2 linked regions of the Anolis sagrei genome follow. The main gene of each other region encodes a partner of the protein of the gene in region 2 in a complex. Links are inferred from orthologs where the notes say so. Each region holds a gene or a part of one and is shown on either strand. Other genes may lie near its edges.

Evidence for each region. The genes of interacting proteins can lie anywhere in the genome.
Region 1: TPRKB (region 2) and GON7 share a complex: the UniProt entries of both Homo sapiens proteins name them as parts of the EKC/KEOPS complex. The link is inferred for Anolis sagrei from reciprocal best matches to the Homo sapiens genes TPRKB and GON7.

The regions. Positions count from the first base shown.
Region 1 is NC_090021.1:316,706,498-316,713,668, reverse strand, and holds the start of GON7 (EKC/KEOPS complex subunit GON7), read left to right. Parts: upstream 1-4,161; 5' UTR 4,162-4,256; coding exon 4,257-4,446; intron 4,447-7,171. Other genes in the region: putative E3 ubiquitin-protein ligase UBR7, read right to left, coding at 3,454-3,678. UniProt on the Homo sapiens protein: Component of the EKC/KEOPS complex that is required for the formation of a threonylcarbamoyl group on adenosine at position 37 (t(6)A37) in tRNAs that read codons beginning with adenine.
Region 2 is NC_090025.1:80,866,141-80,873,938, reverse strand, and holds the start of TPRKB (EKC/KEOPS complex subunit TPRKB), read left to right. Parts: upstream 1-4,785; 5' UTR 4,786-4,816; coding exon 4,817-4,864; intron 4,865-4,906; coding exon of another isoform or gene 4,907-5,071; exon of another isoform or gene 5,072-5,273; intron 5,274-7,798. Other genes in the region: ALG10 (dol-P-Glc:Glc(2)Man(9)GlcNAc(2)-PP-Dol alpha-1,2-glucosyltransferase), read right to left, coding at 4,907-5,071. UniProt on the Homo sapiens protein: Component of the EKC/KEOPS complex that is required for the formation of a threonylcarbamoyl group on adenosine at position 37 (t(6)A37) in tRNAs that read codons beginning with adenine.

The sequences.
Region 1 (7,171 bases), on a different chromosome or scaffold from region 2:
AGAACTAATCGTAAGGGAGAACTCATAGAGAGAGAGGAAATTAAGCCAATCTTCATGTGTGTTTGTGTGTGTGTGTGTGTGTGTGTGTGGGATGGGGGGGGGGCGGGGGACTCCTGGGACAAGAACATTGGAGGAGCACTAGCATAAAATTATGTGGCTATTCTTCGAAAGCGCGACGGCAGACAAACTTTAATTGTTTGTCACAATTAAAGTTGGCACACAAACTTTAATTGTGCAAAGGCCCTCCTAGCCTCTGCAGATACCTGCTTCCAGGTTCAGCACTGAGTACAGTAGGGTCCTCAAACTGCGGACCTATTTCTTCAGGGGGAGTGTAACCCCATGCAGCACAGGTTGGATCCCTATTCCTGGTCTGCCTTCCAACTGACCAGGAGTACCTCTGTCTTGTCTAGATTAAGTTTCAATTTGTTTGTCCTCATCCAGTCCATTACTAATAACAGGCACTGGTTTAGGGTCAGGACAGCTTCCTTCCCTTTAGGTGGAAAGGAGTAGTAGAGTTGGGTGTCATAGGCATACAGCTGGTACCATACTCCAAAAGTCCTGATTACTTCTCCCATTAACTTCATGTATATGTTGAATAGCATGAGGAACAACCCTGAGCCTGAGAAACCCCAAAGGTCAACGGCCAGGAGTCCACCAGCACCACTTTCTGGGTATGGCCCTCCAGGAAGGACGGAGCCACTGTAAAACAGTGCCTCCAATTCCCATACTAGCAAGACGAACCAGAAGGATACTATGGTCAATGGTATCAAAAGCCAATGAGATCTCCAGTAGGGATTTCCCCCCCCCCCAAAAGGTGCCAAATCTATCTGAACAAATTGCACAGGAACCAAAAAGAATGTGTTGAGGATGGGCTTTCTTTTGCTATAAAATGCAATTTTCCAAGCCGGTACTGAAGTGTTTTGGTACATTTTGATAATTTTGATATTGGCTGCTGATACGTGACACCTGTATGAGGGAAAGGAAGGGAGGAAGAAGTGAGAGAGAAGGGGTCAAAATTGGGGGAAAGGTACCTGTGAATTCATAATTTTGTTATTATCCCTCAATTTTAGTAACATCTTTATTATTTTAATGTGAATGTTTTAGTATTTAAACATTTAACACCATTTTAATTACCTTATTTAATATTGGGTTTTAAACTCTGTTTTAACATTGTTTCCTGATATCCGGATGTGTGTGTAACCTGATGCTTGTATACTTCTGTACTTGTGCTTGTACATGTGTGCGTACTCTGACACTTACACACCCTGTCACTTGTACTTTTTTTATGCTGGTCATTGACCGTAATAAATGTTTATATATTTTTTTAAAAATGTGAATGTTGATTTTATTTTTTGTGAGACTTGGGTCGTTTTGGTTATTTACTTCTTTGTCCAGCACCTTGCAGCATTTAATGTTTGCCTGTGATGGTTGCGGGACCGCGAGCAGGGCCTCCCCATTAGATCATCACCTCCGCTATGGTTCATTGGGGGAGATGCGTTCGGACAGGTGCTATGCTGTCGCACGCTGGGCCTGTGCATAAGACAGTAGACAGGACATAAATTCTGTGTGCCCAATAGGACGCCGGGGCTGCCTCAGATTAAAGGCCTTTGGATTTCCTTAAACAGAGTCTCTAGAGTACTTAAAGGTTCAACAAAGTTCTTTATTTATGAAAACAAACAGGTATTTCAAGGCTTTCTTAACAGTCTATAGCAGGGGTCCTCAAACTAAGGCCCGGGGGCTGGATGCGGCCCTCCAAGGTCATTTACCCGGCCCTCACTCAGGGTCAATCTAAGTCTGAAACTACTTGAAAGCACATAACAATCCTATCTCATCAGCCAAAAGCAGGCCCACATTTCCCATTGAAATACTAATAAGTTTATATTTGTTAACATTGTTCCTCATTTTAATTATTGTATTGATTTTAAGTGTTTTTTGCACTGCACATATCTTACTATACATATCTGCACATATCTTACTAAAATAAGATATGTGCAGCGTGCATAGGAATTCATTCATGTTTTTTTTTTCCAAATTGTAATCCAGCCCTCCAACAGTTTGAGGGACTGTGACCTGGCCCTCTGTTTAAAAAGTTTGTGGACCCCTAGTCTATAGGCTCTTTCAATCTTGTCCACAGGGAACAGGCACTATCTTCATGACTGGTATTTTAACTAATGGGGAAATCCTTAACTTCTAATCTGGGCAATCTGTCTTTACCTCTGTTGGCATGGAGCCCCTACACCTGGTACCAACTGCGTCTGGCTTCTGTGAGTGACCCTTACCAAGCAGAGCTTTGTAGACTTCCAGGGAAAAAAGAGTTCAGGTTTCGGTGATGGCTGGCTGAAGTCCCCCAGCAAAGGAGCTGTAAGGCTGTATGATCCTCGGCCAAGCTGTGGGCTGTATAACCCCAGCCAAGCTGTAGAAGACGAAGCTTTCTACAGGAGCTCTTGGTATTATTATTATTATTAAAGGTAAAGGTAGTCCCCTGACATTAAGTCCAGTCATGTCTGACTCTGGGGTGTGGTGCTCATCTCCATTTCTAAGCCGAAGAGTCAGCGTTGTCCGTAGACACCTCCAAGGTCATGTGGCCGGCATGACTGCATGGAGCGCCGTTACCTTCCCGCCGGAGCGGTACCTATTGATCTACTCACATTTGCATGTTTTCGAACTGCTAGGTTGGCAGAAGCTAGGGCTGACAGCGGAAGCTCACGCCGCTCCCCGGAATCGAACCTGTGACCTTTCGATCAACAAGCTCAGCAGCTCAGTGCTTTAACCCACTGCGCCACGGGGGGCTCCATTATTATTATTATTATTAAACTTTATTTGTACTCTGCTAGCATCTCCCGAAGGACTCGATGCGGCTTACAAAGGCCAAGGCCTCAAACAACAACAGACAATAACAATATAAGACAAGCAAATTAAAAACATAAGCAATAAGAACAACAACATTACACTATGGTATTATGTCCAGCATATGTCCTGAACTCAAACTGGCTCCTATTCCCTCCAAAACCTAAAAAGGGGGCGGGACCAGGGAACCTAACTATAATTGACAGGTGGCTTGCCCTATGATTGCAAACTGTAATAGGAATGCTGCAAAATCCTAAGCCTGGGATTGCAAACAAACATTGAATGCAAAGCAAACAACATTGGAGCTCCTGGTACAGCTGTACCTGCACAGGTGCTGTTATCAAGTTGGTTTGTGGTGGAAAGAGGCTTCAGGGTCCGAGTGCAGCAGTGGAGGTGGAGCAACATGGGGGGTGGAAAAGGAGACAAAAAGGGGGGAATGGTACTGAGGAGACAGAAGGAAAGAAAAGAAAGAGAAAGGAAGATGAGGGGGAAAGGTGTGGGAGGGAAAGCAGGGAAGAAAAGGAGGGGGAAATAGAGGAAAGCACCGCAGACCACACTAACATGGGCGGTTTCCCCCTGCCTGCCCCTGAGAGGCCTCCTCCTCACCTGGGAGTAGCTGCACCTCTCGTGGTCGCTGCCTCCCAGCACGGCGCGCGCCTCCTGCTCGAGCTGCTCGCTCTCGGCCAGCACCTCGGCCAGCGACACCACGGGCTCCTCGCCGCTCCGCTCTTCTCCCTCCTCGGCAGCGGCGGCGCTCTCCTTGGGCCTGTCGTCCCCTTCCTCGCCTTTGCCGGAGTTCGAAGCCGCAGCTGCCGGCGCCTCCTTCTCCATCTTGCTGACAGAAACAATACTAAGACAAGCAGGAAGAGAAGGGGGGAAAAAAAGGCGGGAAAACGCCCCAACCACCGGAAGCGGAAACGAAAGTTGCCGCGACGCTCACGGATCTCAAGAGGGGAGAGACCAAAAAAAAGGAAAAGGGATGTGTCACGTGTCACGCGGGAGCCAATCAAAGCTAGAGGACGGAGGAAAGCTGAGCACTTGGGTGCGGAATCACGTGAGCCGCGAAGGGCCAATCAGGGCCGGGCAGATCTGCGAGAGCCAATCAGAGCCTCTAAAGACGGCGAAATGTTAACTATGCAGACTGTGATGTTGAGATCATAAGAGGGAAAGAAAAGGGAGCAGAATCACGTGAGACCACTGAGCCAATCGGAATCAATCAGAGCTAGAAGGAGGCGAGGCTGGAGAAAACAACGCACAACAGCTAGGGAAGAGACTGGGCGGGGCTCTGACGTCACGCTGGTGGGTGTGGCCAAAGGAGGACGACTTGGGTTTCCTCTCTCCGAGAAAGTTCTGCTTCCGGTTCAAAGCGGTGAGGAGATTGGTTGCCTAGCCACGTCGGGAAGGGCGAGATGGAGCTGCGGGCGGAGCTGACAGGCCGCGGAGGGGAGAAGCGACCGCTGCGGGTCTCTTGCGAGCCTCCGGGGGAGCTGCGGGGCCTCCTCGGGGGCTTGGCACGCCTTCGGGAGCAAGTCAGCGCCCTCCTCGGCCCACTGGTCGAGCAGGAGAGCCGCGCCGGCGGAGAGCCGGGCGCGGGTGCAGGTGAGGGCCCCGCAGGCCTTGGCAGAGGGCCCGCCTATGTGCAGGGAGCATCTACACCAGGCATGGTCAAACCTCGGCCCTCCAGGGGTTTTGGACTCCAACTCCCACAATTCCTATCAGCCTCGGGCCCCTTCCTTTTCCCCCTCAGCCGCTTAAGCGGCTTGACCATATATGCCATCTTTCTTCTTATCTTCTATCTGTTGTTGTTCATTCGTTCAGTCGTCTCCGACTCTTCGTGACCACATGGACCAGTGCACGCCAGAGCTCCCTGTCGGCCGTCACCACCCCCAGCTCCTTCAAAGTCAGTCCAGTCACTTCAAGGATGCCATCCATCCATCTTGCCCTTGGTCGGCCCCTCTTCCTTTTGCCTTCCACTTTCCCCAGCATAATTGTCTTCTCTAGGCTTTGCTGTCTCCTCATGATGTGGCCAAAGTACTTCAACTTTGTCTCTAGTATCTTTCCCTCCAGTGAGCAGTCGGCCTTTATTTCCTGGAGGATGCACTGGTTGGATCTTCTCGCAGTCCAAGGCACTCTCAGCACTTTCCTCCAACACCACAGCTCAAAAGCATCGATCTTCCTTCGCTCAGCCTTCCCTAAGGTCCAGCTCTCACATCCGTAGGTTACTACAGGGAATACCATGGCTTTGACTAGGCGGATCTTTGTTGCCAGTGTGATGTCTCTACTCTTTACTATTTTATCGAGACTGGACATTGCTCTCCTCCCAAGAAGTAAGCGTCTTCTGATTTCCTGGCCACAGTCTGCATCTGCAGTAATCTTTGCAACTAGAAATACAAAGTCTGTCACGGCCTCCACAATTTCTTCCTCTATTTTCCAGTTGTCAATCATTCTTGTTGCCATAATCTTGGTTTTTTTGATGTTTAGCTGCAACCCAGCTTTTGCGCTTTCTTCTTTCACCTTGATTAGAAGGCTCCTCAGCTCCTCCTCGCTTTTGGCCATCAGAGTGGTGTCATCTGCATATCTGAGGTTGTTAATGTTTCTTCCAGCAATTTTCACCCCAGCTTTGCATTCATCAAGCCCCGCACATCGCATGATGTGTTCTGCATACAAGTTAAAAAGGTTGGGTGAGAGTATGCATCCTTGCCGTACGCCTTTCCCAATCTTGAACCAGTCTGTTGTTCCGTGGTCAGTTCTTACTGTTGCTACTTGGTCCTTGTACAGATTCCTCAGGAGAGAGACAAGGTGACTTGGTATGCCCATCCCACCAAGAACTTGCCACAATTTATTATGATCCACACAGTCAAAGGCTTTAGAATAGTCAATGAAGCAGAAGTAGATGTTTTATAGATCTATCTATCTATATAAATAAAAATGTAATGTTCGTTTGTGGGATCAACATAACTCAAAAAACACTGGAGGAATTGACACCAAATTGGGACACAAGACACCTAACAGTCTAACGAGTATCCATCTCTCATAAATCCCCCCCCCCCAAAACAGTGGAAAGGACTTTAAAACCCCAAAAATGCTAAATGATGAAAAACTAAATGACAATACAGAAAAAGGGAAGGAAGGGGAGAAAGAAAATAAGAAAGAAAGAGGGAGGGAAAGAAAGAAGGAAGGAGAAGGAAAAGAAAAGGTGGGGAGAAAGAAAGGAGAGAAGGAAAGAAAATAAGGGAAGGAAGGAGGGAAAGGGAAAGAAAGAGGGAGAGAAGGAAAGACAGAAGGAAGAAAAGAGGTAGAGAAGGAAGAAAGGAGAAGAAAAAAGGGAAAGAAAAGGGGAGGGGAAGGAAGGAAAGAGGGAGAGAAGGAAGGAGAGAAAGAAAGAAAAAAGGGAAGGAAGGAAAGAGCGAGGGAAGGAGAGAAAGAAAGAAGAGAAAGTGGCGGGTACAGCTAGTATATAAATAAAAATGTAATGTTTGTTTGTGGGATTAACATAACTCAAAAACCACTGGACAAATTGCCCAAGGAGTGACCATCACTCAAAAAAATTAATTTTGTCATTTGGGAGTTGTAGTTGCTGGGATTTATAGTTCACTTACAATCAAAGAGCATTCCGAACTCCACCAACAATGGAATTGAACTTGGCACACAGAACTCCTATGACTGACAGAAAATACTGGAAGGGTTTGATGGGCATTGACCTTGAGTTTGGAAGTTGCAGTTCACTTACATCCAGAGAGCGCTGTGGACTCAAACAATGGTGGATCTGGACCAAACTTGGCACAAGCACTCAATATGCCCAATTATGAACACAGATGGAGTTTGGGGGGAATAGACCTTGGCATTTGGGAGTTGTAGTTACTGGGATGTATAGTTCAGTTACAATCAAAGAGCATTCTGAACCCCAGCAACTAGAGAATTGGGCCAAACTTCCCAGACAGAACCCCCATGGCCATTGAGTCCAACTCCCTTCACCAGGGCAAGAAAACGTAATCAAAGCCCTCCTGACAAAGAGCCATCCAGCCATAGATATAGATAGATATATATGAGTAACACACACAAGTATAGTATCATAGATTTGAAAGGGACCTCTAAAGAAGAACAATTATATGTTGCGTGTTCCAGAGTAGGCAAACCAGACAATCTCCATATGAACACTGACAAAGAAACAAAAAATACTGTTTACCCACAAGCATAAAGAAATTACATATATTAGAAACCAACACCTTCTCATTACTTTATTTTCCAGATCACGAGACTGGGCCACAGCAACGCGTGGCAGGGGTTAGCTAGTCTATATAAATAAAAATGTAATGTTTGTTTG
Region 2 (7,798 bases):
CGCTTTTAATAATGCTGCATCTGAATGTCAAGTTCCTTCACGATTTGGAATGAATTTTCCAATTAACTTGTGATTGCTTAGCAAGGTTTTTCTAGAGTTTAACCCAACTGACTAGATTCCTCAGATTACAATGAGATTAGAAATACAATTTAGTGAATTAGATTGCTAGAATTTGTTTAGTGGGTAATCTTGTCACACTCAACAAAAGATCTGCAGCTTCAGGAGAAGAAACATCAGAACTGGAGGAAATGCATACCATGACTTTGTTGTTAGGGAGGCTAATCTATGTATCTCTTTGGAAACACAGTAGAGAGGGAAGAGATTTTTTTCTGAAGGCCAAGTCATAGAAGAAAACAATTGAAAAAAAGAGGAGTGTCATGGAAATGGGGATTGGGATGGGATGGAGAGGGTAGTTTCTTTGTTTAGTTCCATAAGTAGCAAGGATCCTTTCAGAATGCCCAACTCATCCATCTATATAAATAAAAATGTAATGTTCGGGTTGACACTAAATTGACACTAAATTTGGACACAAGACACCTATCAGGCCAACGAATGACCATCACCCATAAACATACTGAAAAACACAGAGGAAATGACTTAAAAAGCAAAAAAAAAAATACACACAAAGCACATATACACAGACTGGGCCACAGCAACGTGTGGCAGGGTACGGCTAGTCTATATAAATAAAAATTTAATGTTCGTTTGTGGGATTAGCATAACTCAAAAACCACTGGATGAATTGCCGCCAAATTTGGCCACAAGATACCTACTAACCTAAGGAGTGACCATCACTCAAAAAAATTTGATTTTGTCATTTGGGAGTTTAGTTACTGGGATTTATAGTTAAATTACAATCAACGAGCATTCTGGACTTCACCAATGATAGAATTGAACCAAACGTGGCATACAGGACTCTAATGACTAACAGAAAACACTAGAAGGGTTTGGTGGGCATTGACCTTGAGTTTGGGAGTTGTAGTTTGCCTACATCCAGAGAGCACTGTGGACTCAAACAATGATGGATCAGGACCAAACTTGGCACGAATATTCCAAATGCCCAAATATGAACACAGATGGAGTTTGGGGGAAATAGACCTTGACATTTGGGAGTTGCAGTTGTTGGGATTTATAGTTCACCGACAATCAAAGAGCATTCTGAACCTCACAAATGACAAAATTGGGGCAAACTTCCCACACAGAACCCCCATGACCAACAGAAAATGCTTAAAGCCATCCAGTCCAACTCCCTTCACCAGGGCAAGAAAACGTAATCAAAGCCCTCCTGTCAAAGAGCCACCCAGCCTTAGATATAGATGATTCACAGACAGAGAGAGATATAGTATCATAGATTTGAAAGGGACCCCTAAAGAAGAACAATTATATGTTGCTTGTTCCAGAGTGGGCAAACCAGGCAATCTCCACATCAACACTGACAAAGAAACAGCAAGAAATACTGTTTACCCACAAGCATAAAGACATTATATATATTAGAAATCAACACTTTCTCATTACTTTATTTTCCAGATCAACAGACGGGGTCACAGCAACGTGTGGCAGGGGATGGCTAGTCAGTTCATATGGAAGGGAAATGTTTGCAGTCTTTTAGAAGAGTGATGTGTACTGGTATTTTTAAGTAACTCCCAGTTTAATAATTGTCTTGTATGAAGTTATTTGGGGTGAGCTGCAGTTAATCTCTTTGATTTCTCCTCATCTCTATTACTGTTCTGTTCCTCCACATTCAACAACCTGCTAACAAGAGAGAAGGGAAGTTAGGGAAGCTAGGGCAGTTGCCACTCTTACTCAGTTAAAACAGCTGCATACCCTTTTGGGATGGGAACGATAGTTCAAAATGAGTTTTCCGTGAAATGTCATGTTCCTTTTAAAAGAAGTATGGTATATAGCCCACATTCTCTTTGACATTTGGAGATGCATATGCTTCTTTGCTAACAAATTATTATTGAAATGAGGATTTTTTTCTCAATGACTCATACTGGATCCGATATACATTATATTGTTTCAGAGGGACTTACTCTGAGTGGAGAAGATTCTGATCTTGCATTACAATCTCACAATCATGTATTCGAGAATAAGTCCCAGTGTACTCAATGAGGTTTACTACAAAATAAAAATGCAAAGGACTACACTGTTAATGTGCTTTTCCTTTGATGTGTCCAGACCCTGCCATATGACAGCCAATAAATAGAGTGGATAAGGAAAAAGGGAAACAGGGAAATGGATACTTTAGAACAGGAGACCTCAACCATTAATTCTCCAGCTGTTTTCTACTTCAATTCCCAGATGCCTCCACCAACATGGCCCATGAGTACAGCTTCTGGAAGATGAAGTCCAAAACATCTTGAGGATGAAAGGTTGAGAGGCATTGGTTTAAAGAGATTAGAATTGGAATCCTTCAGGTTGGGCTAATAAGATCACTGTAATGCAGTGGAAACTGCAATTTCACTGTGGATTGAGCTTAAAGGTATGTTACACAGGTACAGCTTAATGTAGATACAGCTTAATGGTATAACATTAGAAAACGTTGACCATTTCCGGTACCTTGGCAGCCATCTCTCCACCAAAGTCAACATCGACACCAAAATACAACACCGCCTGAGCTCTGCGAGTGCAGCATTTTTCCGAATGAAGCAAAGAGTGTTTGAGGACCGGGACATCCGTAGGGATACCAAGGAGCTTGTTTATAAAGCTATTGTCCTCCCAACCCTGCTATATGCCTGCAAAACATGGACTATCTACAGACGTCACATGCAACGCATGGAACGATTCCATCAGTGCTACCTCCATAAAATCCTGCAAATCTCTTGGGAAGACGTCAGCGTGCTGGAAGAAGCAAAGACCACCAGCACTGAAGCGATGGTACTCCGCCATCAACTCCGCTGGACCGGCCACGTTGTCCAGATGCCCGACCACTGTCTCCCAAAGCAGTTGCTCTACTCCGAACTCAAGAACGAAAAACAGAATGTTGGTGGACAGGAAAAGAGATTTAAAGATGGGCTCAAAGCCAACCTTAAAAACTCTGACATAGAGTTTATGGCCCTTGAGCACTCCAGCTGGAGGTCAGCTGTGACCAGCAGTGCTGCAAAATTTGAAGAGGCACGAATGGAGGGCGAAAGAGAGAAATGTGCCAAGTGGAAGGCGCGTCAAGCCAATCCCAACCGGGACCACCTTCCACCTGGAAACCAATGCCCTCACTGCAGGAGAAGATGCAGATCAAGAATAGGGCTCCACAGTCACCTACGGACCCACCAGAATACTGATCCTGGAGGACTATCCTATCCGGCCAACGAGGGATCGCCTAAATATGTTACATTGGTGGCATGTAAGATTATAAAAGAAAAAGACATCACTCTACCTGTACTGGAGGCAATGTATTCACATCTGATAAGGGGGAATTATGGGGTGGGGTTTCAGGACAAGCTGAGGGCCTGAACTTCTTCAAGCAACAAGAATAACTGGATCTTCGGCTCACTCTTGTTTGACAAAATTGGTATGCCAAATTTCTTTTGACTAGAAGCTGGTCACTTAGAGTGCTTCTGGTGTCGCCGTATGAAGGCCCTCCATTGTGCATGTCACAGGACTCTGGTTGCATTGTAGTAGGTGGTCTGTTGTTTGCTCTTTGGTAGAAGAGTAGAAGTTCAAAAGGAAACCTATACTCGCTACAGAATAAAACGCTTTGCAGAGTATACTGACCAACAAAGACTAGCTGATCCATCTCTCGAGAACATTGTTGGTGAACCACTTACCTCAAAAATTGAGCCCTTCTTTTGATAGTAAAGATAAAGGTAGTCCCCTGACATTAAGTCCAGACATGTCTGACTCTGGGGTGTGGGGCTCATCTCCATTTCTAAGCCGAAGAGCCAGCGTTGTCCGTAGACACCTTCAAGGTCATGTGGCCAGCATGACTGCATGGAGCGCCGTTACCTTCCCGCCGGAGCGGTACCTATTGATCTATTCACATTTGCATGTTTTCTAACTGCTAGGTTGGCAGAAGCTAGGGCTGACAGCGGAAGCTCACGCCGCTCCCAGGAATCGAACCTGCGACCTTTCGATCAACAAGCTCAGCAGCTCAGTGCTTTAACCCACTGCGCCACCAGGGGCTCCTCTTCTTTTGATAGATGAGCCTTTTTCAATAAATGAACCCAACCGCCTGACAAAGGCTCTTGTGAGTCAAAACTGGTTGCAGGTTGGTGTCGATTTGTGTGTAACGAAGGGAATAGGACACCTATTGTGACTACTGGAGTCTACTCGTGTGCAATAAATAGGACATTTATGGTCATTCAAGGACTATTCTTACTCACATATTTTGTTTCATACTTGAAGAGAAGAACCAATTGTTTCTGCTTAATGTGAATGTGGCAGCTCTGTGTTTTGTTGATATGTGTATTTGTGATATATACATTGAGTTAATTTAGATACTTTTGCATTACCACAATCAGTGGATTTTGGTCTCCACAGTTTTAAGGGAACCCATTTTTCATTTCAGTAAAAGTCCAAAAGGCCCAGAGGGCCGAAGTTTGCTCGTGCCTGCTCTGTACCTATCATCTATCTGGCTGGAGTTACACTTTTAAATGTACCTGTTCCGACTTACAAACAAATTCAACTTTAGAACAACCCTACAGAACCTGTCTTGATTAACAAAAAGTCTTATAAGCCAGGCATGGGCGAGCTTGGGCCCTCCAGGTATTTTGGACTTCAACTCCCACAATTCCTAACAGCCGGTAGGCTGTTAGGAATTGTGGGAGTTGAAGTCCAAAATACCTGGAGGGCCCAAGCCTGGCTTAGGAGAGGTCACGAAATGACTCCTAGCCTAGGCAGGCGAGGGCACGCGAGGAGGCGGCTGAGGGTGAGCTAGGCCTCTTTCCTCCCTCCGTCTTTCCCTTCCTACCTGCTGGAAGCGCCCCTCGCAGTAGGCCCGGGCCTGGGCGACGTGGAAGGCCTCGTCCATGTAGGGCGCGCGCTGCTGGCGGCTGAGGGCCGAGAAGAGCAAGCAGGAGGCCAGGAAGGCGCCGCTGAAGGCCGCCGAGAAGCAGTAGGCCTCCGAGCGCTCCATCCTCCAGCCGCAGAGGAAAGAGGCCCGCGCTTCTCTTCTCTCCTGCGCTCTGTGGCGGAAGGTGGAGCCCGACGCCGCTCGGCTCCCCACCCCTTCCTTCCCGCCCTCCCTCCCAGGCCTGTAGAATCGGGGCCCAAGAAGGCCTTCACCCCCCTCCCCTCAATATAGGCTGCTTTCCTGGAGAGAGAGACATCTAAACGCGGTAGGTTGGAGACTGCCCAGGCTCTGGGATCCTGGGAGTTGTAGTTTGGGGAGGCGCCTGCCCTCTTTGGCCCTCTTCCTTTCACACAGCTGTATCAAATCCACGTTGAGCTGGGTTATATGGCAGCGTGGAATCAGATAACCCAGTCAAAGCAGATATTTTTGATTATATATTATAACATTGTAATATAATAATATGCATTGTCGAAGGCTTTCATGGCCGGAATCCATGGGTTGTTGTAGGTTTTTCCGGGCTATATGGCCATGTTCTGGAGGCAATTTTTTTTCTCCTGACGTTTCGCCTGCATCTATGGCAAGCATCCTCAGAGGTAGTGAGGTCTGTTGGAAGTAGGAAAAATGGGTTTATATATCTGTGGAATGACCAGGGTGAGGCAAAGGACTTTTGTCTGCTGGGCCTAGATGTGAATGTTTCAGCTGATCACCTTGATTTGCATTCAATGGCTTGGAAGCGCCTGGGGGGAATCTTTTGTTGAGAGTGATTTCATGTGCCTGTTTGTTTCCCCTCTGTTGTTTTGCTGCTGTAATTTTTGAGTTTTTTAATACTGGTAGCCAGATTTTGTTCATTTTCATGGTTTCTTCCTTTCTGTTGAAATTGTCCACATGCTTGTGGATTTCAATGGCTTCTCTGTGTAGTCTGACATGGTGGTTGTGAGAGTGGTCCAGCACTTCTGTGTTCTCAAATAATATGCTGTGTCCAGGTTGGTTCATCAGGTGCTCTGCTATGGCTGATTTCTCTGGTTGGAGTAGTTTGCAGTGCCTTTCACGTTCCTTGATGCGTGTCTGGGCAATGCTGCGTTTGGTGGTCCCTATGTTGACTTGTCCACAGCTGCATGGTACACGGTAGACTCCTGCAGAGGTGAGTGGATCCCTCTTGTCCTTTGCTGAACGTAGCATTTGTTGGATTTTCTTGGTGGGTTCTTTAAGTGGTTTGTATGTTGTGTTTCCTCATCAGTTTCCCTATGCGGTCAGTGGTTCCCTTGATGTATGGCAAAAACACTTTTCCTCTGGATCTTCATCTTTACTCTCGTGGTTTGTTCTCGGTTTTGCAGCTCTTCTGATGTCTGAGGTGGAGTATCCATTGGCCTGTAGAGCCCAGTTAATCTGTGCTACTCCGCTGCTGAGTATGCATGCCCAGTGTGGAACACATCTCACCACACTAAAACAGTGGATGTGGCTCTTAATGAGACATGCCGATTTATCACGGGGTGTCTGCGCCCTGCACCACTGGAGAAATTACACTGCCTAGCCAGTATCGCACCACCTAACATCCGCCGGGAAGTTGCAGCCAATAGTGAAAGGACCAAGGCAGAGACATCCCGTTTGGGTATCAGCCAGCACGTCAACGACTTAAATCCAGACATAGTTTTCTAAGATCTACAGAGACACTCGCTGGAACGCCTCAGCAAGCAAGAGTCCAAAAGTGGCAGGCTCAAATCCAGAACCTCAACCAATGGCTGATACCAAATGAGAGACTCCCCCCTGGGCACACAGAGGACTGGGCGACTTGGAAGGCACTGAACAGACTGCGCTCTGGCACCACGAGATGCAGAGCCAACCTTCAGAAATGGGGCTACAAAGTGGAATCCTCGACATGCGAGTGCGGAGAGGAGCAAACCACAGACCACCTGCTGCAATGCAACCTGAGCCCCGCCACATGCACAATGGAGGACCTTCTTGCAGCAACACCAGAAGCACTCCAAGTAGCCAGATACTGGTCAAAGGACATTTAATCAACTACCAAACTCACACATTTTGTATTTTCTCTGTTTGTTTGCTTTGTTCTGTTAGAAATGTAATATAATTGACTGGCTGCCCTGACACAAAAAATAAAATCCCACAAACGAACATTACATTTTTATTTATATAGATATTTACATAGTGGTCCTTCTAAAACACAGACATGTGCTTTTCATCTTAAGAACAGACAAGTATCTCAAGCTTTGAGGATTACCTGGGAAGAAATTCCACTGGAGCATTGCAGCACACCAAAATACCTGGGAGTTATCCTGGACTATGCTCTGATTTACAAGAAGCACTGCTTGATTATCTAGCAAAAAGTGGGTGCTAGAAATAATATCACATGACAGCTGACTGGCACAACCTGGGGATCACAACTAGATATAGTGAAGACATCTGCCCTTGGGCTTTGCTACCTTGCTGCTGAGTAGGCATGCCCAGTGTGGAATACATCACACCACATTAAAACAGTGAATGTGGCTCCTAATGAGACATGTTGTATTATCACAGGATGTCTACGCCCTACACTACTGGACAAATTATACTATTTAGCTGGTATTGTACCACCTGACATCTGCCGGGAAGTAGTACAGGGACAGGAATTGAGATGAAATCTTCTGAACGGGAGCACAGACAGCAAAACAAACTCCACAGGGGTGTTAACCATTACCTATGCCACCCAAAGATCAAAATTATATATTCTTGGCTGGAGTTACACTTAAAAATGTACCTGTTCTGACTTACATACAAATCAAACTTAAAAACAAA